Linked DNA regions of Macaca mulatta. The protein of the gene in region 3 binds, or shares a complex with, the protein of the main gene of each other region. Links are inferred from orthologs where the notes say so. Each region holds a gene or a part of one and is shown on either strand. Other genes may lie near its edges.

What was found.
Region 1: MED1 (region 3) and MED31 share a complex: the UniProt entries of both Homo sapiens proteins name them as parts of the mediator complex. The link is inferred for Macaca mulatta from reciprocal best matches to the Homo sapiens genes MED1 and MED31.
Region 2: MED1 (region 3) and MED13L share a complex: the UniProt entries of both Homo sapiens proteins name them as parts of the mediator complex. The link is inferred for Macaca mulatta from reciprocal best matches to the Homo sapiens genes MED1 and MED13L.
Region 4: the proteins of MED1 (region 3) and MED24 are in contact, whole or in part, in a cryo-EM structure (PDB 8T9D), measured with the Homo sapiens proteins. The link is inferred for Macaca mulatta from reciprocal best matches to the Homo sapiens genes MED1 and MED24. Residues at the interface, in NP_004765.2 of Homo sapiens: Phe375, Asn377, Gly436, Leu437, Gln439, Glu441, Ser453, Asn459, Asp460, Ser461, Leu462, Val463, Cys464, Tyr480, Lys481, Gly482, Asp485; in NP_055630.2 of Homo sapiens: Lys7, Ile10, Trp14, Lys15, Arg17, Leu47, Ala50, Met51, Ile52, Gly53, Pro54.
Region 5: the proteins of MED1 (region 3) and PPARA are in contact, whole or in part, in a crystal structure (PDB 9IWM), measured with the Homo sapiens proteins. The link is inferred for Macaca mulatta from reciprocal best matches to the Homo sapiens genes MED1 and PPARA. Residues at the interface, in NP_004765.2 of Homo sapiens: Asn638, Thr639, Asn641, His642, Pro643, Met644, Leu645, Met646, Leu648, Leu649, Lys650; in NP_001001928.1 of Homo sapiens: Val284, Thr285, Thr288, Glu289, Lys292, Phe297, Leu302, Asn303, Gln305, Val306, Thr307, Leu309, Lys310, Pro458, Leu459, Glu462, Ile463.
Region 6: MED1 (region 3) and CCNC share a complex: the UniProt entries of both Homo sapiens proteins name them as parts of the mediator complex. The link is inferred for Macaca mulatta from reciprocal best matches to the Homo sapiens genes MED1 and CCNC.
Region 7: MED1 (region 3) and MED23 share a complex: the UniProt entries of both Homo sapiens proteins name them as parts of the mediator complex. The link is inferred for Macaca mulatta from reciprocal best matches to the Homo sapiens genes MED1 and MED23.

What each region holds. Positions count from the first base shown.
Region 1 is NC_133421.1:8,125,603-8,129,294, forward strand, and holds the end of MED31 (mediator of RNA polymerase II transcription subunit 31), read right to left. Parts: exon of another isoform or gene 3,332-3,692; intron 3,312-3,331; exon of another isoform or gene 1,676-3,311; coding exon 1,483-1,675; 3' UTR 772-1,482; downstream 1-771. Other genes in the region: TXNDC17 (thioredoxin domain-containing protein 17), read left to right, coding at 1-51. UniProt on the Homo sapiens protein: Component of the Mediator complex, a coactivator involved in the regulated transcription of nearly all RNA polymerase II-dependent genes.
Region 2 is NC_133416.1:123,231,614-123,235,929, forward strand, and holds part of MED13L (mediator of RNA polymerase II transcription subunit 13-like), read right to left. Parts: intron 3,812-4,316; coding exon 3,388-3,811; intron 2,882-3,387; coding exon 2,662-2,881; intron 1,215-2,661; coding exon 1,026-1,214; intron 1-1,025. UniProt on the Homo sapiens protein: Component of the Mediator complex, a coactivator involved in the regulated transcription of nearly all RNA polymerase II-dependent genes.
Region 3 is NC_133421.1:63,743,592-63,746,929, reverse strand, and holds part of MED1 (mediator of RNA polymerase II transcription subunit 1), read left to right. Parts: coding exon 1-3,117; 3' UTR 3,118-3,338. UniProt on the Homo sapiens protein: Component of the Mediator complex, a coactivator involved in the regulated transcription of nearly all RNA polymerase II-dependent genes.
Region 4 is NC_133421.1:64,410,158-64,415,247, forward strand, and holds the start of MED24 (mediator of RNA polymerase II transcription subunit 24), read right to left. Parts: upstream 3,207-5,090; 5' UTR 3,159-3,206; intron 2,912-3,158; exon of another isoform or gene 2,719-2,911; intron 2,572-2,718; exon of another isoform or gene 1,821-2,571; 5' UTR 1,762-1,820; coding exon 1,632-1,761; intron 1,544-1,631; coding exon 1,461-1,543; intron 1-1,460. UniProt on the Homo sapiens protein: Component of the Mediator complex, a coactivator involved in the regulated transcription of nearly all RNA polymerase II-dependent genes.
Region 5 is NC_133415.1:5,248,325-5,252,640, forward strand, and holds part of PPARA (peroxisome proliferator-activated receptor alpha), read right to left. Parts: intron 1,123-4,316; coding exon 675-1,122; intron 1-674. UniProt on the Homo sapiens protein: Ligand-activated transcription factor. Key regulator of lipid metabolism. Activated by the endogenous ligand 1-palmitoyl-2-oleoyl-sn-glycerol-3-phosphocholine (16:0/18:1-GPC). Activated by oleylethanolamide, a naturally occurring lipid that regulates satiety.
Region 6 is NC_133409.1:86,300,323-86,304,638, forward strand, and holds part of CCNC (cyclin-C), read left to right. Parts: intron 1-3,291; coding exon 3,292-3,398; intron 3,399-4,316. UniProt on the Homo sapiens protein: Component of the Mediator complex, a coactivator involved in regulated gene transcription of nearly all RNA polymerase II-dependent genes.
Region 7 is NC_133409.1:36,639,231-36,643,546, reverse strand, and holds part of MED23 (mediator of RNA polymerase II transcription subunit 23), read left to right. Parts: intron 1-717; coding exon 718-963; intron 964-1,882; coding exon 1,883-2,025; intron 2,026-3,004; coding exon 3,005-3,179; intron 3,180-3,837; coding exon 3,838-4,001; intron 4,002-4,316. UniProt on the Homo sapiens protein: Required for transcriptional activation subsequent to the assembly of the pre-initiation complex. Component of the Mediator complex, a coactivator involved in the regulated transcription of nearly all RNA polymerase II-dependent genes.

The DNA.
Region 1 (3,692 bases), about 56 Mb from region 3:
TCTGAGTGTCTTCAGGCCAACCTGGTGGAAATGTTGTTCTCTGAAGATTAAGATTTTATGATGGCAATCATGTCTTGATTTCCTGATTTGTTCTAGTATCAATAAACTGTATATTGCTTTGAATACATGTTAGCAATAAATGAGGTTAAAAAACTGGCATGTGTCTAAACAGTAGGGTGCTATTAAAATGCCCATGAACCTTTAGTTTGCCTGTAATATATGGATATTTTTAAGATATAAACAAGTCTTCAGAAGTAGCAGTAAAGGCTCAAAGGAATGTATCATTGAAGGTGACGGAAATACCTAAAAACTCCTAAAGGCGCAGAGCACACCTTCCAAATCTTTCAAAAGATCAGGATCTTTTATTTTAAATTCTCTGCATCTGCAAAGCAACTGATAGTCCTGAAACCCCTTCTTTGATTTTGGAACGTAGAACCTAACCTCACCACTGAGGGAAGCATATTACCTCTAATCCAGCCTCTGCTTAATTCAGGCAGTTTTGTTTTGTTCATGAAAAAACCGACCCTGAGCACTAGAGGCAGTTCGTTTTGTGGCTTCTCTCAACGTGCTTTACTTGGGATTAGGCAGGTGGCGGCGAGGGGCTGGAGAGACTGTGTAACCCAGTGGTGGGAAGAACTCCAAGCTGGAGTCAGTCACACTGATTCTACCACTTACTAGCTGTGTAACCACAGGCAAGTTACCCGCCCCATCCAAACCTCAGTTTTCTCTTCTGTAAACAAGGTTCTGAGAATAAAATGAGAATTCAAGGAAGCACTTAACATAGCACCTGGTATGTGGTACCTCCCAAATCAATGTTAGTTTTCCCAAATGAGCACAAGTATTTGAGGCTCCTCATGTTTGTTCTAAAGTCAAGAGTCCAATTAGTAATTAACCACTAGTTGTCCTGCCATGACTAGGTCAAATGAGGCCACAGTGATTCTTAAAGCCACCTTGCAAAGCAGGTAATACAGGGATTTCCTGTCCTGCAGAATTTGAGAACCTTTATGCAGTTCCTATCCTGTGATTTAAAGAGGTCACTGACTCCGCTACTCTCACTACATAGATAAGAGTGGTAGAGTAGTTGATCTGAGAGACAGTAAGGTTCCAGGAGATGGCCTTGCGCTACTATATGTCAGGAAGAGCTAGCCTTAGAATTCAGTATACTTGGTGGCCCACCCCTACCCCATGCCCCAGTGCCTCATTTGGTCTAAAGCACCTAACTTTTCCATTCTTAATCAGCTGATTATGCTAAATGCATACAAAAGAAAACACCTTACAAATCCACAGGGAAATCAAAGTAGACCAATTCAGGTTTAAAAGAAATAGTCTATTAACAATAAAAAGTTGGATTAAAAAGCACACTAAAGGTTCTAGGGGCTACCATAATAAAGGTAGATAGGAAGAGTTTTCATTTTTTGTCTTCACTGTACAAAAGAAATACATTATATACATGTATTGAGAGCCTCATCTGTATCCGGTTTTTCATTTTCCCGATGTGTTATTTTGCTGTTGCTGCTCTGCCAAGGCTTGCTGAAGGCGCATCCGCTTCCGGGAATAGTGCTGCCAATGTAGAATCTGCTGTTCATCAATGAATTTCGCACACTGAGCATTCACCAGCTCCTTTCGGAAGTGTTCGTATTGGAGCAGCTCTAACATGTGTAAACACTGAGGGTACCTGGGTTTAAGTTTATAAGTAAATGAACAACATAATTTAAGTAAATAATGCCAAGGTCTAATTAAGTTATTCTCTTAAAAATGATCTTGTAGCCTACCATTTCTTTAACTTAGTACACACTGGCAGCATAGGGTGTTTTCCCTGATTGGTCATCAAAGGTCAGTGTTCAGCAATATTTTCGAAAGTGAGAAGGTTTAAGTTCAGAAAGATTAAATTTAAACTTGCTCAGGACCACACAACACAGTAACTGGTAAGCAGAGTGAAAATGTAGGGACAAACCATGCTATTCCCTTCTAGTGGTTTCCAACGTGAAGAACATGAACATATTTTACTAATTCTGTGTTTAATTGATAGTTCTTTGTTTTTCCATCAATAGTGATAAAAAGACAACTTTCATTTAAAAGTGAGTTGGTTTGAAAGAGAACTATGCACATACATTATACTCTTCTTGTCCACAGGGATATACCAACTCTGAAATTAGATATACTCTAGGATTGGACAAGTAAATATACTGTGGATAAGGACAGCCAAATTTCGACAAGGAAAGGAAAAAGGCTAGAATGAATCCTGTGTTACTGAGCTGGTATTGAAAACATTAGTATGTACTTAGGGCTTTTAATATAGGTAGACAGGATAAACAGATGTATACATGTGTGCATGGATACACATACAAACATAGAGTTCTTGAGCTTTGTGTACTGAGAGGGCCTAGAAGCAATGACACTGTGGTACTAATGAACACACAATGTCCAGATTGTGGTATCCAAGGAGCAGGTTTCCTTGGAGAAAAGGGTGATTCAGGGATAAGAGAGGGAAAGTACAAGATGAGCCTGGAACATTACGTAGTGCCAGAAGAAAAAGTGCTAAAAATTATTGGGACGATCAAAAGTATTCAGGAACCAACTTGAAGGGACTCCCAATGGCCAAATCTAGAATACTCAGAGCAAGAAAATACATAATTCTAATTCACAGGATAAAATACTAAATGGATGTAAATTTCTTTAATAAAATAATAAATAGAAAACAAGGGAATGTACTGCCTTACAATCGAATTCCAAACTAATAAATGCAGAATGACAGAATTCGAAAATCACCACAGTAAAAAATGTTTCAAACAAATATCTTCAAAAGATGCTAAAATGGGCATGTAATATGATATTTACATAGTCTCAAAGGATTTCCCCATAAGATACTTATTAAATACATAAGGAAAAATAGTAACTTAATATGGAGAAACCTAGAAGGTACCACCCTCAACCAAGTTATCAAAATTAATGTCACCAGTAGTGGGACAAATAGACTTCATGTGACTGCAGATACATGAAGGATACAAAATCATTTCTGTCACAGTCATGGAAAAGAAAAGACCACTGAGATGAAAGGAGACTAAGATGTGACAGCAAAATGCAACATACAGGCCTAGACTGGATCCTGTACTACATACAGCACCCCAGCAGGACAACAGGCCTAGACTAAAGCCCATACTACATACAGCACCCCAGCAGGACAACAGGCCTAGACTAAAGCCCATACTACATACAGCACCCCAGCAGGACAACAGCCTAGATTGGATCCTGTACTACATACAGCACCCCAGCAGGACAACAGGCCTGGACTAAAGCCCATACTACATACAGCACCCCAGCAGGACAACAGGCCTGGACTAAAGCCCATACTACATACAGCACCCCAGCAGGACAACAGGCCTGGACTAAAGCCCATACTACATACAGCACCCCAGCAGGACAACAGGCCTGGACTAAAGCCCATACTACATACAGCACCCCAGCAGGACAACAGGCCTGGACTAAAGCCCATACTACATACAGCACCCCAGCAGGACAACAGGCCTGGACTAAAGCCCATACTACATACAGCACCCCAGCAGGACAACAGGCCTGGACTAAAGCCCATACTACATACAGCACCCCAGCAGGACAACAGCCTAGACTGGATCCTGTACTACATACAGCACCCCAGCAGGACAACAGGCCTGGACTAAAGCCCATACTACATA
Region 2 (4,316 bases), on a different chromosome or scaffold from region 3:
GGCTTTTACTAATCGGGTATTTTTCATGCAATAAAATTGTGGGAACTGATTTTTGAAGGCTTTGAAAATTCTGAACATTGCCCTGTATACCTATCTTCAAGATAAGGTGATTAGAAAAACAAAGGAAATGTAAAACTTTTGTTTAAAACATGTTTAGCTTTGGTGCTGTAAAATTCCCTTTGAAATCCACACATATCTGTAGGAAGTAGGTTTAAAAAGATGGAGCGAAAATGCATTCATTTACATACCGAAGCACTGAGGCAAGGAAAGGAGAAATCAACTCCCTGTAAGTATGTGCATCAGAAAATGAGGGCCCCCTGCAGAGTAAACACAACTACAACTGCTGTCTCAGGATACAGACCAGAGCCAGAAAATGCAAAGGATTTCTGATCTAAGACACAGAGTAGCTTAGAAAAATAAAGAAAATAAATTTAGAAAATTCAAACATTAAGAACTAAAAGTGATACATATATTATTGCCTAAAGTCCTACATTAAAAAAACAGTAAGAATTTGCTTGCCTCTTTTCTCAAAAATTCTTAAAAGTTCAGAGAAATATCTCCTCTATTTAAATCTAAGAGTTAAAGAAATCTGCCAACTCTTTTTCATTCCCTGCTTGAGACAGGGTCTTACTCTCCAGGCGGAAGTGGTTGTGTGATCACAGCTCACTGCCATCTCAAACGCCTGGGCTCAAGTGATCCTTCCGTCTCAGCCTCCCAAACAGCCAGGACTACTGGCACACATCATCACTGACACCTGGCTAATTTTTTTTAAAAAAATTTGTGGAGACGGGGTCTTGCTATGTTGCCCAGGGTGGTCTCAAACTCCTAGGCTTAAGTAATCCTCCCACCTCAGCCTCCCAAAGTGCTAAGACTACAGGCGTGAGCCACCACATCCAGCCTAGCAACTCTTATATCAAGGTAGAAGGCCAACTAAGCAACCAGCCAATCTCTAGGTTAGATAAAATACCTCTCCTAGCTTGCATTTTAGTATAAATTTTCTAAGTTCCTGTCCTGCCAATACCCACCTCAGGGTTCTTGAGGGTCATCTCAATGCTGGCTGCAGGCCCAAATCCCGTGAGGGATTTAATGTGGATCTGTGTAGGCAATGGTCGCCTGCACTGGCAGTACACTGAAAATGCCATGGACTTCAAGTATTGAATGTAGAAAACTTGCTCATCCTTCATTGTCTGCAGCATGTACTGGCAAGGCACAATCTAAAGACACAAATACAAAAAACAAAACAAAACCAAAAACCTAGAAACTGAGATCTAACACGCTAACAAGCAAGCTGAAAAAGGAAACGGCATGAATTCCTTACCACAATGGGGAGAGGTAACCTCAGCCCTAAAATATATCAGTGTCACACATAATATAATTAAATCCTAATTCCTTCCACTGACATAAAATTCTCTATCACCAGCAATTTCGAAAGATGTACGATTATATGGGTCAAGTTATACTGTCACTTAGAAACTACCATGTTCCCATTTTAGAGGTAAGATCTCAATTTATTACAGGTATTACCATGGCCCCCAAATTGTATTATATTTCTCCTTTTTATAATTACACAGTGTGTGTGGCATTTTTTGGAATTATTACCTAATCATTTAGGATACAGACTTCAAAACAATGGAAAACTATCAGCAATGTACTCTGATAACTTTAATTTCAATCTTTTAATTTTACAAGATAGCTTCAGTTAAAGTGACATTAAAATGAAACCCAAACATCCGAAGCACTGTTTTTCATCTATATAGAATTTTTAAAAAAATCATTACACTATAAAGCTGTCAAAGGGGCAGTGAAAATAAGCATACTCATTCACTGATGAAAGGAAAGTAAGTGTAATCTCTTTTGGAATGGAATTTGGCAATATGTGTCGCATCTACATCTAAGAACCCATGTTAAAAAATGACCTGAAATGTGAAAAATAAGATTATACATAAATGTGTACTATGGCTTTATTTATAACAGTAAAGAAGTGGAGATATAGGAATGGCTATGGAAAATATGCAGTCATTAAAAATGCTTGTAAGAATTTAAATAACATGAAAATGTATTCATGAATAACATTAGATAGAAACTAAGTTATATTAAAAGTATGATCTCAACTGTGTAAACAAAAATAGAAAAACAAGCTAGAAAAACACCAAAATGGTAATGGTGGTTGAATGTAAAAGTCAGAATTATGATTATTTTTTCTTTTATACTTTCGGGTACAGGTTGAATATCCCTAATCAAAAAATCTGAAATCCAAAATGCGCCAAAACTCACAATTTTTGGAATGTCAATAAAACGCCACAAGTGGAAAATTCCGTATCAGACCTCATGTGATGTGCTGCAGTCAAATTTAATCAAAACTTTGTATAAAGCACAAAATTATTAAAAAAATTGTATAAAATTACCTTCAGGTTAAGTGTATAAGGTGTATATAAAACACAAATTTTATGTTTAGACTTGGGTCCACTGCCAAGGTCTCCCATTACATATATGCAAACATTCCAAAATCAGAAATCCAAAACACTCTGGTCCCTAGTATTTTGGTTAGAGGATAATTAACCTGTACTTCTATTTTTTAAGAAAAACCATAAGCCTGTATTTATTTTCACAACAACAAAAACATCAACATCAAAAGTAAATAATAAACTTGCAAACAGTAACCTGGAGAATGAAAGAACTTCTCATATGCTCAGGTAAATTATCCAGCATTTCTGTGTAGCAGCGCATCAAGCTCAACAGCCAAAAGTTCCCAGAAGTGGAGTCCTCCTCCGCAGCATAAGTGAATGGGTCTACCATGTAAATGACAACGGCTGGAGGGTGGGCATGGCTGTCTGCAGAGTCAGGCTCCGTGGGAATTCCTATTCTCTCCCTTTCTGTAACACTGGCAAGAGAGTCACTTGTGAGACACACAAAATAAACATAAATTACATGAGTATGAAAAACAAAAGTGCTCAATACTAGAGCACACAGGCTCCCTAAAGAATATTTACAGATTAAATGTAAGAGTAACATGTATCACCTTACCAAAATACAGGCAAACCAAGCCAGAGAGCATTGAAAGCAGATGGAAAATGGCAATGTACTCCTCTAAAATGGGAGATATCTTTTTCAAACTCCCCTTTCTTTTCTGTGGTTATGTTGTACAAAGTTGTTATTAAGTTGATTGTAAGTTTAATAATAAGGTTTATAAGTCATAATAATTTATAAGAAGTCTCAAAATTTTAACACTGCAGCTTTAGATTGACCATTACCCCTTTCTTTTGAGAAGAAGAGAAATAGAGCACTTCATAGGATTCAGAGAATCATGAGGTCAAGGGAGAAAAGGTGCGGAAGAAGAGAGAAAGGGTCTGAGCTGAGGCCACTCGTCTCAATTAGTGAGTAACATACCTCTCTTGTCCATCCTGTGAGGGCTGAGAAGAGCTCTGCCCAGGGTCAGTGTCTCCGCCACAGCCTATGCTCCCTTGAGTTCTATCCGTAGAAATGCCCCCAGTGCTGGGGTTCTGCCCTCCAACACTACCACTGAATCCTGAAGAAGAGGTAGTGCTTATCTGGCTAATACCAGGAGCAGAGGCAGACGATGAGACCGGTGGCACAGAGGAACCAGATGCGGAACTACTTGCTGCAGGATTTGTAGTACTACTATTCGAGGTGGGGTTAAATGCACTGCCAGCTGGGGGAGCTGCTGATCCATTTGGAGCTAAGGGCCCAGCATTCCCAGGCGTAGCCTGTCCCTGTGCCGCTGCTGGTGGGGTCTGGTATTTAGGTGGTATCAACAGGCTGCTATCAAGCTGCAGAGTGGCTAAATAAGGTGCTGAAAGAATACATGCAAAGAGGTGACTTTAGTGATATTCTGCAGTGTCGACTAAACCAGAAATCTAGAATGGTCACTTGTAAAAAAATTATGCTTTCAAGCTGCAATACTCTGATTACAATACACAAAATACTATCTCCACACTCATGCTTATGTATTCTGCAAACATGGAAATGCACACGGAGCAACTTATAAATTCTACTGAAGAGGCCTGTTTGAAAAGAGAAAATCAATCACTTGTGATAGTCTCCTTTCAGACTGATTCCATATGCCTGCCCTGAAAAATGAGAAGCTATATATTCCACAGTCATCACGGGACATTATACTCCTAGGTTTACAAGCTTCTAAGATTCTCTTCAGAATATGGGTTAAAACTAAGCAGCTAACACCAAGTCATGCTGCTAAGTTTTCAAAATGTGGAGTAAATTAGACATGATTAGGCAACTTTGAATAGTTTTTAAAAAATATATGTACATATAGAAATTAGCATTAAACTGCTCAGAAC
Region 3 (3,338 bases):
AGCCCAGGGTATGGCATGACCACAGGCAACAACCCAATGAGTGGTACCACTACACCAACCAACACCTTTCCGGGGGGTCCCATTACCACCTTGTTTAATATGAGCATGAGCATCAAAGATCGGCATGAGTCGGTGGGCCATGGGGAGGACTTCAGCAAGGTGTCTCAGAACCCAATTCTTACCAGTTTGTTGCAAATCACAGGGAACGGGGGGTCTACCATTGGCTCGAGTCCGACCCCTCCTCATCACACGCCGCCACCTGTCTCTTCGATGGCCGGCAACACCAAGAACCACCCGATGCTCATGAACCTTCTTAAAGATAATCCTGCCCAGGATTTCTCAACCCTTTATGGAAGCAGCCCTTTAGAAAGGCAGAACTCCTCTTCCGGCTCACCCCGGATGGAAATATGCTCGGGGAGCAACAAGACCAAGAAAAAGAAGTCATCAAGATTACCACCCGAGAAACCAAAGCACCAGACTGAAGATGACTTTCAGAGGGAGCTATTTTCAATGGATGTTGACTCACAGAACCCTATCTTTGATGTCAACATGACAGCTGACACACTGGATACACCACACATCACTCCAGCTCCAAGCCAGTGTAGCACTCCCCCAACAACTTACCCACAACCAGTACCTCACCCCCAACCCAGTATTCAAAGGATGGTCCGACTATCCAGTTCAGACAGCATTGGCCCAGATGTAACTGACATCCTTTCAGACATTGCAGAAGAAGCTTCTAAACTTCCCAGCACTAGTGATGATTGCCCAGCTATTGGCACCCCTCTTCGAGATTCTTCAAGCTCTGGGCATTCTCAGAGTACCCTCTTTGACTCTGATGTCTTTCAAACTAACAATAATGAAAATCCATACACTGATCCAGCTGATCTTATTGCAGATGCTGCTGGAAGCCCCAGTAGTGACTCTCCTACCAATCATTTTTTTCATGATGGAGTAGATTTCAATCCTGATTTATTGAACAGCCAGAGCCAAAGTGGTTTTGGAGAAGAATATTTTGATGAAAGCAGCCAAAGTGGGGATAATGATGATTTCAAAGGATTTGCATCTCAGGCACTAAATACTTTGGGGGTGCCAATGCTTGGAGGTGATAATGGGGAGACCAAGTTTAAGGCCAATAACCAAGCTGACACAGTTGATTTCAGTATTATATCAGTAGCCGGCAAAGCTTTAGGTCCTGCAGATCTTATGGAGCATCACAGTGGTAGTCAGGGACCTTTAATGACCACTGGGGACTTAGGGAAAGAAAAGACTCAAAAGAGGGTAAAGGAAGGCAATGGCACCAGTAATAGTACTCTCGCGGGGCCAGGATTAGACAGCAAACCAGGGAAACGCAGTCGGACCCCTTCTAATGATGGGAAAAGCAAAGATAAGCCTCCAAAGAGGAAGAAAGCAGACACTGAGGGAAAGTCTCCATCTCATAGTTCTTCTAACCGACCTTTTACCCCACCTACCAGTACAGGTGGATCTAAATCTCCAGGCAGTTCAGGAAGATCTCAGACTCCCCCAGGTGTTGCCACACCACCCATTCCCAAAATCACTATTCAGATTCCTAAGGGAACAGTGATGGTGGGCAAGCCTTCCTCTCACAGTCAGTATACCAGCAGTGGTTCTGTGTCTTCCTCAGGCAGCAAAAGCCACCATAGCCATTCTTCCTCTTCTTCCTCATCTTCTGCTTCCACCTCAGGGAAGATGAAAAGCAGTAAATCAGAAGGCTCATCAAGTTCCAAGTTAAGCAGCAGTATGTATGCTAGCCAGGGGTCTTCTGGATCTAGCCAGTCCAAAAATTCATCCCAGTCTGGGGGGAAGCCAGGCTCCTCTCCCATTACCAAGCATGGACTGAGCAGTGGCTCTAGCAGCACCAAGATGAAACCTCAAGGAAAGCCATCATCACTTATGAATCCTTCTTTAAGTAAACCAAACATATCCCCTTCTCATTCAAGGCCACCTGGAGGCTCTGACAAGCTTGCCTCTCCAATGAAGCCTGTTCCTGGAACTCCTCCATCCTCTAAAGCCAAGTCCCCTATCAGTTCAGGTTCTGGTGGTTCTCATATGTCTGGAACTAGTTCAAGCTCTGGCATGAAGTCATCTTCAGGGTTAGGATCCTCAGGCTCGTTGTCCCAGAAAACTCCCCCATCATCTAATTCTTGTACAGCATCTTCCTCCTCCTTTTCCTCAAGTGGCTCTTCCATGTCATCCTCTCAAAACCAGCATGGGAGTTCCAAAGGAAAATCTCCCAGCAGAAATAAGAAGCCGTCCTTGACAGCTGTCATAGATAAACTGAAGCATGGGGTTGTCACCAGTGGCCCTGGGGGTGAAGACCCACTGGACGGCCAGATGGGGGTGAGCACAAATTCTTCCAGCCATCCTATGTCCTCTAAACATAACATGTCAGGAGGAGAGTTTCAGGGCAAGCGTGAGAAAAGTGATAAAGACAAATCAAAGGTTTCCACCTCTGGGAGTTCAGTGGATTCTTCTAAGAAGACCTCAGAGTCAAAAAATGTGGGGAGCACAGGTGTGGCAAAAATTATCATCAGTAAGCATGATGGAGGCTCCCCCAGCATTAAAGCCAAAGTGACTTTGCAGAAACCTGGGGAAAGTAGTGGAGAAGGGCTTAGGCCTCAGATGGCTTCTTCTAAAAACTATGGCTCTCCACTCATCAGTGGTTCCACTCCAAAGCATGAGCGTGGCTCTCCTAGCCATAGTAAGTCACCAGCATATACCCCCCAGAATCTGGACAGTGAAAGTGAGTCAGGCTCCTCCATAGCAGAGAAATCTTATCAGAATAGTCCCAGCTCAGATGATGGTATCCGACCACTTCCTGAATACAGCACAGAGAAACATAAGAAGCACAAAAAGGAAAAGAAGAAAGTAAAAGACAAAGATAGGGACCGAGACCGGGACAAAGACCGAGACAAGAAAAAATCTCATAGCATCAAGCCAGAGAGTTGGTCCAAATCACCCATCTCTTCAGACCAGTCCTTGTCTATGACAAGTAACACAATCTTATCTGCAGATAGACCCTCAAGGCTCAGCCCAGACTTTATGATTGGGGAGGAAGATGATGATCTTATGGATGTGGCCCTGATTGGGAATTAGGAACCTTATTTCCTAAAAGAAACAGGGCCAGAGAAAAGAAACTATTGATAAGTTTATAGGCAAACCACCATAAGGGGTGAGTCAGACAGGTCTGATTTGGTTAAGAATCCTAAATGGCATGGCTTTGACATCGAGCTGGGTGAATTAGAAAGGCATATCCAGACCCTATTAAAGAAACCACAGTGTTTGATTCTGGTTACCAAGAAGTCTTTGTTCCTGTG
Region 4 (5,090 bases), about 670 kb from region 3:
ATAAACCCATCTAGTGACTGCTTATTTACATGTCTATATTACCCACTAAATTCTCTGTGTACTGGCATCAGATCTTATTCACAGCTATGTCCCCAGGGGCTAGCACTGTCTGGCACATAAAAGCATTCATGAGGCCGGGCGCGGTAGCTCACACCTGTAATCCCAGCACTTTGGAAGGCTGAGGTGGGCAGATCATGAGGTCAGGAGATCGAGACCATCCTGGCTAACACGGTGAAACCCTGTCTCTACTAAAAAAAAAAAAATACAAAAAATCAGCCGGGCGTGGTGGCAGGCGCCTGTAGTCCCAGCTACTCGGGAGTCTGAGGCAGGAGAACCCAGGAGGCGGAGCTTGCAGTGAGCCAAGATCGCACCACTGCACTCCAGTCCGGGTGACAGAGCGAGACTCCATCTCAAAAAAAAAAAAAAAAAAGGCCGGGCGCAGTGGCTCAAGCCTGTAATCCCAGCACTTTGGGAGGCCGAGATGGGCAGATCACGAGGTCAGGAGATCAAGACCATCCTGGCTAACATGGTGAAACCCCGTCTCTACCAAAAAAGACAAAAAACTAGCCGGGCGAGGTGGCGGGCGCCTGTAGTCCCAGCTACCCGGGAGGCTGAGGCAAGAGAATGGCGGGAACCCGGGAGGCGGAGCTTGCAGTGAGCTGAGATCCGGCCACTACACTCCAGCCTGGGCGACAGAGCAAGACTCCGTCTCAAAAAAAAAAAAAAAAAAAAATTCATGAGTATTTGTTGATAGAACAAGTGAATGTAATCCTATTTCTCTTTTGGTGGTTGTTGTTTTTAAGAGATGGAGTCTTGTTCTGTTGCCCAGGCTGGAGTGCAGTGGCACAATCAGTGCTCACTGTAGCCTCGAACTTCTGGGCTCAAGCAATCCTCCCACCTCCGCTTTCTGAGTAGGCGGGGCCACAGGCCTGTGCTACCTGCTACTACTCCCAGTAGAATAAGTGAATATAATATTCATCACAACAAATGAAGTATTATTATTTTTATGAGAACACTGAAACTCAGTGAAATGATCTGTTCAAACAAATTCATCTAGAAAGCGTAAGCTGACAATTGTAAAACTGCACCCCAAATTTTGTTTTGTTTGTTTCCTGAGACAGGGTCTCACTCTGTTGCTCTGGCTGGAGTGCAGTGGCAGGATCATGGCTCACTGTAGCCTTGACCTCCCAGGGCTTAGGTGATCCTCCCACCTCAGCCTTCCAAGTAGCTGGGACTACAGGGGCACCACCACGAAGGGCTAATTCTTTGTATTTTGGGGTAGAGACTGGGTTTTGCCATGTTACCCAGGCTGGTCTCAAACTCCTGGGCTCAAGCAATCTGCCTGCTTCAGCCTCCCACAATGCTGGGATTACAGTCATGAATCACTGGGGTCCAAATGCACTTCAAGTTTTTTATCCCCAAAACTCTCACTTCTTGGTGGGGGTTTTGGGGGAGCTTACCTGGGAACTAATGGCATACTTCAGGTAGGACAAGATGAGAGGATTGGGGGATGGTCCAATCATGGCCTGCTCTAGTAATGCATCTGCAAGAGGAATAACAAAACACGATTGAGTGATTACAACTTCTCTGGGTTTATCCCTCCCATCTTTCTTTCCCAGTTCACTTGAGACCTGCCAGGTTGAGAATGTCCCAGGTGGCTCCTTTAGGAAAGAATTTCTTCATGTTGATTGCCCACTGGTAGTCACTCCAACGTTCCTTCCAGGCTTGCAAAATGGCTTGCTTCAGGTTGACTACCTTCATGATTTCACTCTGAGCAGGTGGCAGCTGTGACGGCCAACTTTGAGGTGAAAGAAGTGGATCTAAAGAAAAGGACACGGCCGGGCGTGGTGGCTCAAGCCTGTAATCCCAGCACTTTGGGAGGCCGAGACGGGCGGATCACGAGGTCAGGAGATCGAGACCATCCTGGCTAACACGGTGAAACCCCGTCTCTACTAAAAAATACAAAAAACTAGCCGGGCGAGGTGGCGGGCGCCTGTAGTCCCAGCTACTCGGGAGGCTGAGGCAGGAAAATGGCGGGAACCCGGGAGGCGGAGCTTGCAGTGAGCTGAGATCCGGCCACAGCACTCCAGCCTGGGCGACAGAGCGAGACTCTGTCTCAAAAAAAAAAAAAAAAAAAAAAAAAAAAAAGAAAAGGACACGATGTTCGAAGGAGAACCGGGGAAGGCAGAATTAAATAGAAAGAAGATGCGGTGGCCGGGCGCGGTGGCTCAAGCCTGTAATCCCAGCACTTTGGGAGGCCGAGATGGGCGGATCACGAGATCAGGAGATCGAGACCATCCTGACTAACACGGTGAAACCCCGTCTCTACTAAAAATACAAAACTTAGCCGGGCGCGGTGGCGGGCGCCTGTAGTCCCAGCTACTCGGGAGGCTGAGGCAGGAGAATGGCGTAAACCCGGGAGGTGGAGCTTGCAGTGAGCTGAGATCCGGCCACTGCACCCCAGCCTGGGCGGCAGAGCGAGACTCCGCCTCAAAACAAAAAACAAACAAACAAAAAAAAAGAAGATGCGGTAAGATTTAAGCTAGGCAGCGGAATTTGAAAGAAAAAGAGCTAAAGAGATAAGGTAAGATCCTGTCAGGCTTTCTCCTCCTGAACCGCCCTTCCTTAAACTGGGGCACTAAGAAGAAAGTATAGGCCGAGCGCAGTGGCTCGCACCTGTAATCCCAGCACTTTGGGAGGCCAAGGCGGGCGGATCACCTGAGGTCGGGAGTTTGAGATCAGTCTGACCAACATGGAGAAACCTCGTCTCTACTAAAAATACGAAATTAGCCGGGCTTGGTGGCGCATGCCTGTAATCCCAGCTACTCGGGAGGCTGAAGCAGGAGAATCGCTTGAACCCGGGAGGCGGAGGTTGATGGGGTGGGCCGAGATCGCGCCATTGCACTCCAGCCTGGGCAACAAGGACAAAACTTTGTCTCTCAAATAAATAAATATCAAAGGGACTAATAGAGTAAAGAGGGCATCAAGGAGTTAAGCCAGTCCTCGTTGCCTAATTACGCCCTTAGCTCTAAATGCGTCCTTCGGTCACCACTACTCCAAGTCCAGATTTGCTCCCTCATTTCCTCCACCTTCTCCAGCCCTGTAACTATACCTCCCAATTTCCTTTTCATCCACCACCTCCCCAAATTTAAGCCTACCGCACAATCCACTTCTAGGTCGTAGGCATCGCCATTTTGGCACTTGTCAAGAAGTTCACTTTCTATTGGCTGGGAGTAACAAACGCAAACCAATAGAGATGCAGCAAGGAACGTCCCGCTGTCTTCTGGGAATGGTAGTTTTTTGGACTGAAACCGTATTTGTCTGCGCTGGCGAAGAAACTAAGAGACTAGTCTAGTCGGCGCGCATTGTTCCTCTCCTTTAAGGGAGGACATCCAGGAGCTGAGACACTACAGAGACTCAGGGACTCGAGGAAGCTCGAAAGGTCGCTCACAACCCGGCGTCGCCCACGACGTCACTGTCGACCGGCCTTCTCCATCATATTCCGACACCCTTTCTTTCGTTAGCCCCTAGTTAATAGGTGCGGCAAGGGTGTGGCGTTCAGCAATACGGCCTTTCTCTTTTCCTGGGCTCTTTCTTTTCTCCTAAACTCCTGGGGCTTCCAGAGCTATTCTCATTTCCACACCTATATTCTAAAAGCGACACTAAGGTGCCTTACTTGCACACATATCACCACCCCCGAATCTGACAGTCCTATCAGCATCTCCAAGCCCTCCAAACAGCTTGGATACAAGGGAAAGTAAAGGAGAAACTAAGGTGAAGGTGATCAAAATCAAAGGAATTCTGAGAAACTGTCACAGCTAAGAGGGCTAAGGAAACCTGATGACTAAATGTAATGTGATTTTCTGAATGCAATCATGGAAGAGAAAAAGAATACTGGGTAAAAACTAAGGAAATCTAAATAAAGCATGGACTTTAATTAATAATAATGTATCAGTATTAGTTCATTAGTTGTTACAAATGCATCATACTAATGCTAAGATGTTAATTAAAAGAGAAATTGGGTGCAGAATATGTGGGGACCCTCTATTACCTTCCATTTTTTTCCTGTAAATTAAAAACTATTTTCTTAAGTTTCTTGTTGTTGTTGTTGTTGTTGTTTAAATCTTGCTTATCCCAAAGATCCATAAATAATAATATCCAATTATTATGCCCAGGGCCTTGGCCATAGCCTTTCCTTCCCCTAGTGAGAAAGCCAAAAGCAAATGTTACCCACCTCTGGCTCCAATGTCTGAGCCTTCTTATGCATAGCCCTCATCCCTCCCCATACTATGGACTGGTCATCCCTAACATTTACAACCAGGAATAAGAGTAAATTACTCGAGAGGCTGAGGCAGGAGGATCACTTGAGCTCAGGAGTTCAAATCCAGCCTGGGCAACATAATGAGACTCTCAGCTCTACCAAAAAAATAAATAAATAAACATGGAGGCCTTTAGCCAGGGCCCAATATCCTAGTTCACAAGTTCAAGCTCAATCCGTATTCCCCAAAAACGATTCTTTTTTTTTCCTTTTTTTTTTTTTTTTTTTTTTGAGCTCACTGCAATCTCAGCTCACCGCAACCTCTGCCTCCCAGGTTCAAGCGATTCTTCTGCCTCAGCCTCCCAAGTAGCTGGAATTACAGGCGTGTACCACCACGTCAGGCTAATTTTTGTATTTTTAGTAGAGATGGGGTTTCACCATGTTGGTCAGGCTGGTCTCAAAATCCTGACCTCAGGTGATCCACCCACCTCAGCCTTCCAGAGTGCTGGGATTATAGGCATGAGCCACCGTGCCCAGCCTTCGACAACCATTCTTTGCTCACCCTTTGAGTGGCAAAATCAGTCCTTGGGGGGATAAATCTGGAAGAGCAGCCCATTTAAGGCTCTGGAAGTAAAACTGGCCATTTGGGCAGAGAATTACAGCACCCTGGGTGTCTGGAGCACGGTCTAGACAGGGAGTCAAGGACTTCTGTTCCAAAGGGGAGAGTGTGGCTGAAGGAGGGTCAGATCATGTCCCTCTGCGGTTGGTACTGCCTATGGCTTTTCTTCCTCCCCATACATTCAATCCACACCCCTCCCTTAGGCTCCCTTTG
Region 5 (4,316 bases), on a different chromosome or scaffold from region 3:
TCTCCTGGGCTCAAGTAATCCTCCCACCTCAGCCTCCCAGGCAGCTGGGACTACAGGTACATGCCACCATACAAGACTAATTTTTTGTATTTTTTTTTTTTGTAGAGACGGGGTCTTGCCATGTTGCCCAGGCTGGTCTCAAACTCCTGGGCTCAAGTAATCCACCCACCTTGGCCTCCCAAAGTGCTGAGATTACAGGCCCATGTCCGACCTCTTTTCTCTATATATATATTTGTGCAAAATATATAAGTTTTTTTTAAAGACATAGGGTCTTGTTCTGTTGCCCAGGCTAGAATGCAGTGATGCATTCATAACTCATTGCAACCTTGAACTCCTGGACTCAAGGCATCTTTTGGCCTCAGTCTACTGAGTAGCTGGGACTAAAGGTGTGCACCACCACACCTGGCTAATATTATAATTAAAGTGTCATACATTTACATATTATTAAATATGTCTTTATAGATAATAACAATATATACTATAATATGATACAATATTGATATAATTCCCACTGAATTCTACTCAGCAATGACTGGAGGTCAGATGTCTTCCCACCCTGGGAGTGTCCCCTCCACTGGGACAGCTCAAGCTGGTACTGCATTTCCCGTTGTCAAAATTTTCAAGACAGGAGCCTGTCAGTGACATGATACCAGCAGATTAAATCAACCACTCACCTCCACAGCAAATGATAGCAGCCACGAAAAGGGAGATATCGCTGTCATCCAGTTCCAGTGCATTGAACTTCATGGCAAAATCAAACTTGGGTTCCATGATATCACAAAACGGTTTCCTTAGGCTTTTTAGGAATTCACGAGTTATAAACCCATTTCCATATGCTACCAGCATCCCGTCTTTGTTCATCACCGAAGACAGCATGGCAAATATGGCCTCGTAAACTCCGTATTTTAGCAGTGTCACTTGATCGTTCAGGTCCAAGTTTGCGAAGCCTGGGATGGCCTTGGCGAATTCCGTGAGCTCCGTGACGGTCTCCACCGATGTGCACTGGCAGCAGTGAAAGATGCGGACCTCCGCCTCCTTGTTCTGGATGCCATTGGCCACCAGCTTGGCCACCAGTGTCTTCTCAGCCATACACAGTGTCTCCATATCGTGTATGACAAAAGGCTACAAAGGAGGACACCAAGGTAAGTCAGGTGATGTGGGATGCGCCACGCTCCCAGCCATCAGTTCACTAACGAGCAGCTCCTAACGAGCAGCTCCTGCGTCCACATCACCAAGTTCGGTGCCTCAGAGGACTCAAGAAACCCGCAGAACACAGTCCTCACTCAACTTCAAAATCGGCTGGGGAAAATAAGACATTAATAGAGAACGAACAGTATAAATCAGTAAAATAATAATCATCATCGCCTGACATTGGGTGGATTTCATTGCTAAGAAACTGAAGTACTGGGCTGGGCATGGTGGCTCATGCCTGTAATCCCAGCACTTTGGGAGGCTGAGGTGGGTGGATTACCTGAGGTCAAGAGTTTGAGACCAGCCTGGCCAACATGGTGAAACCCCGTCTCTACTAAAAACACAGAAAAATGTGGCCGGGCGCGGTGGCTCACGCCTATAATCCCAGCACTTTGGGAGGCCAAGGCGGGCGGATCACGAGGTCAGGAGATGGAGAACATCCTGCCTAACATGATGAAACCCCGTCTCTACTAAAAATACAAAAAATTAGCCGAGTGTGGTGGCGGGTGCCTGTAGTTCCAGCTACTTGGGAGGCTGAGGCAGGAGAATGGCATGAATCCAGGAGGCGGAGCTTGCAGTGAGCCGAGATGGCGCCACTGCACTCCAGCCTGGGTGACAGAGCAAGACTCCGTCTCAAAAACAAAACAAAACAAAATTAGCCAGGCATGGTGTGTGCCTGTAACCCCAGTAACTTGGGAGGCTGAGGCAGGAGAATCGTTTGAACCCGGGAGGCGGAGGTTGCAGTGAGCCGAGATCGTGCCACTGCACTCCAGTCTGGGTGACAGAGCAAGACTCCATCTCAAAAAAAAAAAAGAAACAAGAAACTGAAGTACTGATTTTGTCCACAAAACTAACAAGGATATTAGCAAAGCACCTTTAATATTCTTAAATATTCTCTGAACTCTTAACAACTACTGCAAGAGGCTTAATTACAATAATTCTTAATTTTACCAGTATATGCGCTTTAGAGGTGAACACCATTATTTAACGCTGCTCAATGAATCAATCTGGCATGTAAACACATACAACTCATAAAGTTGGCATCTATGTAGAAATCAGCAAACAAGCATTGTTAAACTCTTTAGGGATAAAGTGGAAAAGCCTCAGAATGCCCTTGTTTCTCTCAGTGCAGGAGACTGAAACCTTCACTCAGTGCTCCACGTTCTGGAGCAAGTGCCACGTCCCCACAGCCGTGCCTTGTGTGGTCCCACGCCCTCTGCATCTAAACCCAGTGGCCTGCCATTTCCTGAAGATCTTGTGGTGGAAGAGGTGGCTGGTCATATTATTTGAAGCCAGCATGCTCAGAAGGGATTACATGTGTGGGAGGGCCGGGGAGAACGAGCACAAACACTGCTGTTGGCTGAAATTTACGTGTGGGCAGAGCAGGAAAGTGACAGCATCTGAGGGATCTGTTTACGATGTGGTCCGTGGCTCATGCAGACAAGGTCAATAATGCAGTGGGCTAAGGTGTTATTTCTTTTCTTTTTCTTTTTTTTTTTGAGATGGAGTTTTGCTCTTGTTGCCCAGGCTGGAGTGCAATGACACAATCTCGGCTCACTGTGACCTCGGCCTCCCGGGTTCAAGCGATTCTCCTGCCTCAGCCTCCTGAGTAGCTGGGATTACAGGCAGGCGCCACCACGCCCAGTTAATTTTGTAGTTTTAGTAGAGACAGGGTTACACCATGTTGGTCAGGCTGGTGTCGAACTCCTGACCTCAGGTAATCTGCCCACCTCAGCCTCCCAAAGTGCTGGGATTACAGGGGTGAGCCATTGCGCCCAGCCTAAAGCATTATTTCTTTTTTTTTTCTTTTTTTTTTTTTTTGAGACGGAGTCTCGCTCTGTCGCCCAGGCTGGAGTGCAGTGGCCTGATCTCAGCTCACTGCAAGCTCCGCCTCCCGGGTTTACGCCATTCTCCTGCCTCAGCCTCCCGAGTAGCTGGGACTACAGGTGCCCGCCACCTCGCCCGGCTAGTTTTTTGTACTTTTTAGTAGAGACGGGGTTTCACCGTGTTCGCCAGGATGGTCTCGATCTCCTGACCTTGTGATCCGCCCGACTCGGCCTCCCAAAGTGCTGGGATAACAGGCTTGAGCCATCGCGTCCGGCCGTAAAGCATTATTTCTAATCGCTGCTGGAACAGTGGAGCCCAGAGTGCAGAAGCATCCCAGGGATTTAAAGAATGCCCCCTGCCAGTGGGCAAAACACAACCACTGACAATGCTTCTGATCCACAGCGTGAAGTGTTTCCTGTTTCTGGGCTCACAGCACAAAACTGTCTTCAGGGCACCGGTGGAGGTGCCGATAACCATCACACAGATTGTATGGAATGTTTCAACAGAACCAGGACTTGCAACATAATGCTGGATTAAAAACCCTGATTCTGCATCTGAGGAAAGGGGATATTTTAAAAATTACTCACAAATGAGTGAAAACATTCTGAATACAATATTCAGAGCCAAGTTTCTAAATAATCTGAAGTCTGATTAACAAAGACTGAAAATGATCTCTCTCTAAAGACCTTAAAAACAGTTCAGATGACCATTGTTTGTTAAAGTTTGGAGATAATTCTGCTTCACAGAAAGTTGAAGCTCAGATTTGAGGAATTAACATTTCTAGGAGGGGCCAAATTTTTTTTTTTTTTTTTTTTTTTTTTTTTTTTTTTTGAGACGGAGTCTTGCTCTGTCATGTCGCCCAGGCTGCAATGCAGTGGTGCAATCCCGGCTTATTGCATCCTCTGCCTCTGCCTCCTGGGTTCAAGTGATTCTCCTGCCTCAGCCTCCCAAGTAGCTGGGATTATAAGCGCAGACCACCACGTCCAGCTAATTTTTTGTATTTTAGTAGAGACGGGGTTTCACCGTGTTACCCAGGCTGGTCTTGAACTCCTGAGCTCAGGCAATCTGTCCGCTTCGGCCTCCCAAAGTGCCAGGATTACATGTGTGAGCCACTGCGCCCAGCCTCTAGGAGGGACTACGTAAATATTTTTAAAGGATCAATAGCAGTATTCCCTCAATTCCAGAAAATAGACTGTTAGGCCACCATCACTTTATTCAAATCACTAGATCTGTCTAAAGGACATTCAGCAGAAATAAAGGTGTTGAATACTTTTTTTAAAAAATGAGTTGTTTAAAAA
Region 6 (4,316 bases), on a different chromosome or scaffold from region 3:
AGGAAAAAAATTATAAAAGATCATTCTTAGAGTAAACAAAAACAGTAGACGAAACTACTGCTAGTTAAATCAGGGGAGAAAGGAATGATACAAAAATACAAAATTAGGAATGAGAAAAGTAAACCCAAGGGTACTTTTGGGTTATCTCCAGGGTTTTAAATTTGAAAGCCAAAGCAAGTTAAGAGTATTACCCAAGAACTATGCCTTATTTCATGGGTAAATACATCTTTCAAGAGAATCTCCTTTTGAAATTGTTCCATTTCATACAGAAAGAAGAAAAGCTTTCCTTTACAAAGCCATGATAACACTTACAGAAAAATCTAGTAAAGGGAACACTAAAAACAGTCTCACTTTTGAATACTGATGCAAACATTGTAAATGAATTATTACCAAATACAGTCTAACATTACATTGAAAGTATAAAACGTGACAGTGGATTTTATTATAGAAATATAGTCAATGAAGCAGTAAAGGTATTAAAAAACTAATGCAATTCAACATTTATCCTTGACTAAAGCTCTTACTAAAACAGAAACAGGATGCTTCCTTAACATGAAAAACATATCAAAGCATCAGCAGTGGTAAAACATTGGGATAATTAGGGTGCCTATTTAAGATTTTACCAGTATACTAGTGAATACAATTGATACAAAGGAGATATAGAAAGAATGACAAAACAATGACAAAATTATCAATACGTGGAAATAAAATTAATGAGAAAACTCAGTTAATTGAGAAGTTATTAGAAATAATAAAGGTTTAATAAGGTGACCAGTTATAAAATACAAAAATAAAAGCTTTTTAAAAATGGATAGAGAAGTATAATTTACATTAGCAACAGAAAATATAAAATACAGAGGGAAAAATATAAAGAAATATACAGAACCTGTAGGAAGAAAACTTTAAAAGTCCATAGTGGCACATACAGATTTTAATAAAGTTTGAATTCTTGGTAAGATGTCATTTCTCCCTATATTGATCTTTAAATGTAATGCAATCACAAAATTTGAATGGATATTCTTTTTTAGGACTTGACATAATGCTTCTTAAGTTTGGGTCTTAGAATAATAATTGTGATAAAATGTCAGAAATTTTCAGGAGAATAGTAGCAAGGAAGTATTTTTCATACCAGATATTCATTACTTAATTTTCTGTGTTTTAAAATAGCACAGCATATGAACAAGAAAAAAAATAGGAAATTATAAAGAAGATCCAAGTATAGTGATAGAATTATAAATCAGAAGATAACTTAGCGCATTTGGATAAGCATTTGACAAAATATTTAGCTGGATCCCAACTTTATACTTTGTACCAAAATAAATTCCAGATGGATCATAAATTGAAGGAAAAAAGCCCTTAAGGGTATTAGAAAATATGGGTGAATTGTTTATCATTTTGAATCAGGAAAGACCTTGCTATGCCTGACAAACATGAAAGTAAAAGATAGATTTAAGTAAGTGATTCAGATTTCTGTATTACAAATAATTAAATACTGAGAGATATTTAAACTTGGGAGAAATTTTGCACTTATTTGTCAAACAAGTGATTTATTATTCATACTGTACAAATTTTAGATGAGAAGAATCTCTTAATCATTAAAAAAATCGGTAATACCATTAGAAAAATGGTCATATTAGAATTAACATTGTACAAAAGAAGAACTGTATATGACCAATAAAGACATAGAAAGATGTTTAACCTCAAAAGTAAACTACAGGGAAAAGAAACAGTGACGTACTACTTTGCCTTTAAGTTGCAAAATATTTAAAAGTGGCAGTAACCCATAGGATTAATTTTTTTTTTTTTTTTTTTTTTTTTGAGACAGAGTCTCTGTCCACCAGGCTGGAGTGCAGTGGTATGATCTCAACTCACTGTAGCTTCCACCTCCCGGGTTCAAGCAATTCTCCTGTCTCAGCCTCCCAAGTAGCTGGGACTACAGGCACACGCCACCACGTCCAGCTAATTTTTGTAATGTTAGTAGAGACAGAGTTTCACCATATCGGTCAGGCTGGTCTCAAACTCCTGACCTCAGGTGATCGGCCCACCTCGGCCTCCCAGAGTGCTGGAATCCCAGAGTGCTGGAATTATGAGCCACCATGCCCGGCCAGGATTAAATATTGTACAATTCACTCATGAACTGTTAATACAAATGGAAATTGGTATAATGTTTTTGGAGGGTAAACTGACAATGTGTATCAATAAATTACCAGCAACACTAATCCTACTTCTGGGAAGTTATTTCAAATATATTATTAATCAAATATGCAAGGAGAATTACAAAGATATTCATTAAGAAGCATATCATTCAGGAAATAGTAGCAAGGCAGTATTTTTTTATACCAGCTATTAATTACTTAATTTTCTGTGTTTTAAAATAGCACAGCATATGAACAAGAAAAAATAGGAAATTATAAAGAAGATCCAAGTATAATGATAGAATTATAAATCAGGAAATACCTCAGCGCATTTGGATAAGCATTTGACAAAATTTTAGCTGGATCCCTACTTTGTACCAAAATAAATTCCAGATGGATCATAAATTGAAGGAAAAAAGCCCTTAAGGGTATTAGAAAATATGGGTGAAAAATGATAACCTATATTTGCATCAGTAGAGATTGGCTAAATAATGATCCATCCATAAAGCTGTATGAAAGACTGCTGAACAACAAGTTAATTGACATAAGACTTGGAATACATATTGAATGACAAACACAGCTTCAAGATCGTTTTTTCTTTGAGTCATGTCAATTTCATATCTCTGGTTAAAAATAGCACACTTGACTAGGCAAGAGGAGGAGGCTATCAGTGTAACACATTCTGAGGCAGTTTTTAATATAATTAGATTTGTGAAGTAAGGAAATTAAATGCCATAGTTACCCATGAACAGCTGAAAAACTATATACTTCCTCAAATCTAAGCGACCATCAATTGGTGCCAAATAATTCCACCGTTATCTTATATCACTAAGAAAGAATAAACATGCTGCCAATTATAACACGAAGGCATCACAGATTGTAAGACATATCTTGATATCAGAGTCAGAATCAGTGAAATACAAGCTGGTAACAGACTAAGGAGGAAGAAGGAAAAGATTAGAGCAGAATTTTTTTCAGGACATATTTACATTTATTAGTGAGATAATTATTAGTCACATTTCAAGAAATGTGAGAAATAATTGTCTTTAAGGTTATGTTTTGCTCTTTGTACTTCTCAGAATATGAACAATGTGTTCAATCTTAGAGTGTTTTCCCTGACCTTGCTTGTTGATTTTCTGTAACATGTCTTTTCTAGTTTGCAATGGATTTTGGATAAACAAGATCTGTTGAAGGAGCGCCAAAAGGATTTAAAGTTTCTCTCAGAGGAAGAATATTGGAAGTTACAAATATTTTTTACAAATGGTAAACTTTTTAAAAAGTTGTTTGAGATTGTATAGTTGGTTACCTCTGAATTAAAATGTTTTTGTGTGGTAATTTGTAAACTGTTTTAGTGCATACCTAACATTTTTATTTATACAGGTGTTCTTTTTACAACGTATTCATTTCTGTTTCTTTTTAGTGATCCAAATAAAGTTTTTTGTGTGAATTTTACATATTACAGGCACTTAAGACAATTTAGAAGTGTTACCTAATCTCCCTAAGGCTTTGTAATAATTATTAGACCCAGTTCACGGTTGGCTAAAGCAAAGTACTTTGAGGATAAATGATTCTTTGGATTGGCATCCTGTAGTGGTCATGTCTCTTAGAACTTTGAAGGGAAGAAGATTAGGGATATATCTTTACTCTGACATGTAGTAGGTTTGTCACATAATTTTTTTAACTTTCAGTTCACTATTTTGTAAACTTATCTCTCTGGTTTTTTTTTTTTTTTTTTTTTGAGGATTCATTATGAATTTTTTTTTTTTTTTTGGTGAGCCGTATAAAGCTAAGTGTGGTAATCTTAGCACTTTGGGAGGCAGAGGTGGGTGGATCACTTGAGGCCAGGAGTTAGATGAGCCTGGCCAACATGGTGAAATCCCCTCTCTACTAAAAATACAAAAATTAGCTGGACGTGGTACACAAGAATCACTTGAACCTGGGAGGTGGAGATTGTAGTGAGCCCAGATCGCACTACTGCATTCCAGCCTGGGCGACAGAATGAGACTCTGTCTCAAAACAACAAAAAAGTGGTAGTATTAACAAGTTTCATAGGTGTCTAATATTTTCTTTTTATATTTATTTTAAAGCTAATATGAAAAGCATTTAAAATATTTAGAAGATAGAGGGGAAATACTTATTCAACTTCCTTAATGGATGGATAATTTTTTGCTGTGGGGCAAT
Region 7 (4,316 bases), on a different chromosome or scaffold from region 3:
AATGAAAGCATATCAAGTTTCATAAATGTAAAAATGTTTCAGAATTTCTCAAGTGCTTGGAACTTGAGCATGAGCTGACTGAGATATTCATCTGTGGGCTGCCAGGAATGATTGAGCTGATCTGGCTGGCATGCCCCTTAATATCTCTTCCAAAGTTGTGATGACTCAAAGAAGATACCATTCTTAGATAGTATTGTATTGTATTGTAGTCAAGGGTGCTAGGAATAGCCTAACTTCCCACCTAGAACTTCTGAAAAAGACTGTCACATCTCTTCATAGGATATGGCAGGGGAGTCAGACTTGATATTTCATTTGGTTTTCATTTTATGAGATACCCCTTAACCACCTTTTCAAAGTGATATCTGTAATGAAGACATTGTTGTGTTTATACAGACAGATAATAAGTAGAAACCTGGTTCACAGACTTGTGAGTTATTTCTTCGGTCTCTGAAACTTAGCCTAATATGGTGGCTGTATATGTAGTGCATACTTAACAGATACCCATTAATTGTTTATTTAAAATTATTTTTCTTCTGAAACACTACCTCAACTTCTATGTGTATTCCCACTATACGTTTCACACAGAAACTCGAATACGTATAGGAACAAAGATAGCATTAATAAATAATTGCATAAAATTGAACTTTTAAAAAAATACAAATTAACATTATGGAAGTAATTTTCGTTTTTTCTTTTTAATGGAACATGAATTTTTAGGTTCCTGCAGCAGAGTCTGAGAAATAAAAGTTTACAGATGAATGACTATAAGATTGCTCTATTGTGTAATGCATACTCTACAAATTCAGAATGTTTTACATTACCCATGGGAGCTCTGGTAGAAACTATTTATGGAAATGGAATTATGAGGATACCTCTCCCTGGAACAAACTGTATGGCTTCAGGATCTATTACCCCCTTACCCATGAACCTCCTGGATTCACTGACAGTTCATGCCAAAATGAGGTATGTTCTTTTTATTAATTTGATTCCATGTCAGGGAATTGATACGAGTATAGTATAAACCTTTATTTCATGGTTTTATGTGTGTAATTTTTCATAGTCAGGTACATTTAGGGAAAAAAATAGCTTTATTTTATTACAAAAGTAAATATTTTTTATTATAGGAATTCTAGGATAAACAAACCCAAAGAAAGTAATTGTCATAATCTCTCCATGAGAGATAAGCATTATAAAAATTTTTTGCACTTTTTTTTTTTTCGTTTTTTGTAGATAGTAAGAAGGAGGACTAGTGTAGCTAGAGCTTCCAACGTTTTTGAGAAGGGCTAGAAATCCAGATTTTTTATTACTAGTCTTTCAGCCTTTAAGTATTGGCTCAAATTTAAAACAACCACCGTATAGGCCTAAGAGAATTTGTCTGTGGGCCTCCAAGTGGAGCATCAGTTCTGGTAGAGCTATGCTCTTTTTCAAGTGGTAACCATTGTGATAGAATTACACATGTGCTTCACTTGCATGTATAACAGATTTGAGCAAAGCCTCATTAGAACCTAACATTTGGGTCTTAGCTATGATGTGTTAAAGTAAATCTGTGACAGAAGTTATTTAATTTCCCAAATGTATTTTGATGCATCATTGGAGTAACCAAAATCTCTCAAGCTTGCTCTTATAAGTTGAACCCAAAGTTTGTTTTCCCATGAGCAGGGGGATCCGTGTGCATATTGAAAGCACCATGGAAATCGGAATGAGTCTCAGGTTGTGCAGTGCATCCTTACCAAGTGTCCTGCACAATTTAGACACATTAAATGAATCAACTTCATTTGAATCATTTAAGTTCAAATTATACTAAGTTACTTCTAAGTAGAGTAGCGCCTATGTTTATGTCAAAAATATGGATTTTTATTTTCTTCCCTTTTTTTCTCCTCAGCCTTATTCACAGCATTGCAACCAGGGTGATAAAACTTGCTCATGCAAAGTCCAGTGTGGCCTTGGCTCCAGCCCTAGTGGAAACTTACAGTCGTTTATTGGTCTATATGGAAATAGAGTCTTTGGGCATCAAAGGATTTATCAGTAAGACAGGACTTTCTGGTGTTTATAACTATTAATCCATTCATTAACTCTAAAGGTACTTTTCTAGTTCCGGGGACACAGCAGAGAACAAGTCACCACCATGATGGAGCTTATGGAGGGGGACGTTAAATAAATGAAATATATAATATGTCAGGTGATACATGTTATAGAGAAAAATAAAGCAAAAAGGAATAGGAAGTTTGAGGGTGGGAGGGGGGGTTTGTTGCATTTTTAGGTAAAGTGGTAAGAAAAGGTTAATGTGCTAGGTGCCTGGGATGTGGTGAGCAGGATAGACATGGTCCCTGTCCTCATGCAAATGGATTCTGCCTGAGGCAGTAATGCTGTCCTCCAGTGCATACAAAAGGCTGACTGGCAGTAAAGAAGGAATTCTCTTAGATTGCAGAAAATACATTATAATGTCTGTTATTTATTATGTAGTTCTAAAATAATAGATACTTTCTAATATAGAAGTGTTTTTCTGATTCATCATAATTCCAGCTTTTCATGAATACAGCATAGTTTTAATTTTAACCATAGTAAGTCTTCCTAGATAACTGATTGTTGAATAAAACTTTCTCGGGGGTAGGAGGAAACAAGGGCAGGTGTAAAAATACAGTTTTTTGTATTAAAAAGTGAACCTCATACTTCAAAAGGTATGGAACATTAACTGTCTAAAAATAAAAGATACCAGAATTGAGAAGATTAATGCTTTTTCGTATCTTGTCTCATTTTGTTTTTCCAGATAAACATGATTATCACTTGCCAAGTCCCAGGAAAAAATAATTGATATTATAGTTAGGATCTGAATTTTTCCTTACTGTTAAAGTAGAAAATAAGAAAATGTGGAGAATATATATGTGTGTGCGTGTGTATTTTCGCAATCAAATCTTTATTTGATTCACTCAATGTGACTTTCTTCAACTATCTTTTAATGCATAGCCTTTACTAATTGGTACCTTAAATTGTCTTTTTCCTCCAGGTCAGCTTTTGCCAACTGTTTTCAAATCACATGCATGGGGGATCTTACATACACTCCTTGAGATGTTTAGCTACCGGATGCATCATATTCAGCCTCATTACCGAGTTCAGCTCCTGAGTCATCTTCATACTTTGGCTGCAGTTGCACAAACAAACCAGAACCAGCTCCATCTTTGGTGAGCTCATTGAAGGCCATCTTTCCTTAAGATTTACTAGAAACTTTCTTGGAGATGAGGTTCTTAATCCTTTGCCTTATAGGTTTTTTTTTTTTTTTTTTAATTCATCTGTCATAAAACTTCTCTGCTTCTAAAGTATTTTGTTTCCATTATAGGAGCAGAGTCCAGCTTTTTAAATAGAAACTGATTAAGATAGTTGAGTTCTTGCTTCAGGATCTTTGGACTGAGAATTAGTACTTTCAGGGTATTTATTATTATGTTGTAACTTAGCCCTTTAGAATGCTGTTTTTAAGTATACTTCAGATTATGGTTAAAGTATCATGTCACATTGATTTTGCTTTAAATTAAAATATATTTTAGATAGAAAAATATAATTTTTGAAATGCAGTATCTCCAGGTGAAATTTTTTAGTCCTATAGGCGACAAGTCATCTTTTTCAAATGTGTAAAAATGTCAAGATTTTCACTATAAAATTGGACACATTAGGTTTTTTAAACAAATTAAGCAACATTTATTCTCACACACAAGTGTTTTTTTAATTAAAGAAGGGATAGTCATATAGATTGCATGTTTTTCCAGTGTAATTAACCTTAGAATTAGATTTAATTCTATAATTCTGAAATTTTTTTACATTTCTTTTTTTTCTCCCACTTTTCAGTGTCGAGAGCACTGCTCTCAGGCTTATAACAGCATTAGGTAGCTCAGAGGTACAACCGCAGTTTACACGCTTCCTTAGTGATCCCAAAACAGTGCTCTCAGCAGAATCTGAAGAACTGAACCGAGCCTTGATATTGACCTTGGCTAGAGCAACTCATGTTACAGGTACGGTGACTATGTGACTACAAACAAACAAAAACAGATGAATTAAAGTGTGCCGTGATTCTACTAATTACTATGGGTATAACATACTAAAAAGATACTTTTCATTTGTTCAAAAAAAGCCAGTTGTTTTGATATCTTCACTATTTCATTCATTTATGGAAGCTCTTTTGTGTAACATCATTCTATTAATAACTGGGTTGAGCATCAGTTTTCAGTTATCTTCCATAATTTTAAAGTAGTAATTCTTTAAGCTTTTTGGTCTCAAGACTGCTTTACACTCTTAAAATTGAAATTCCCAAAGAGTTTCTGTTTATA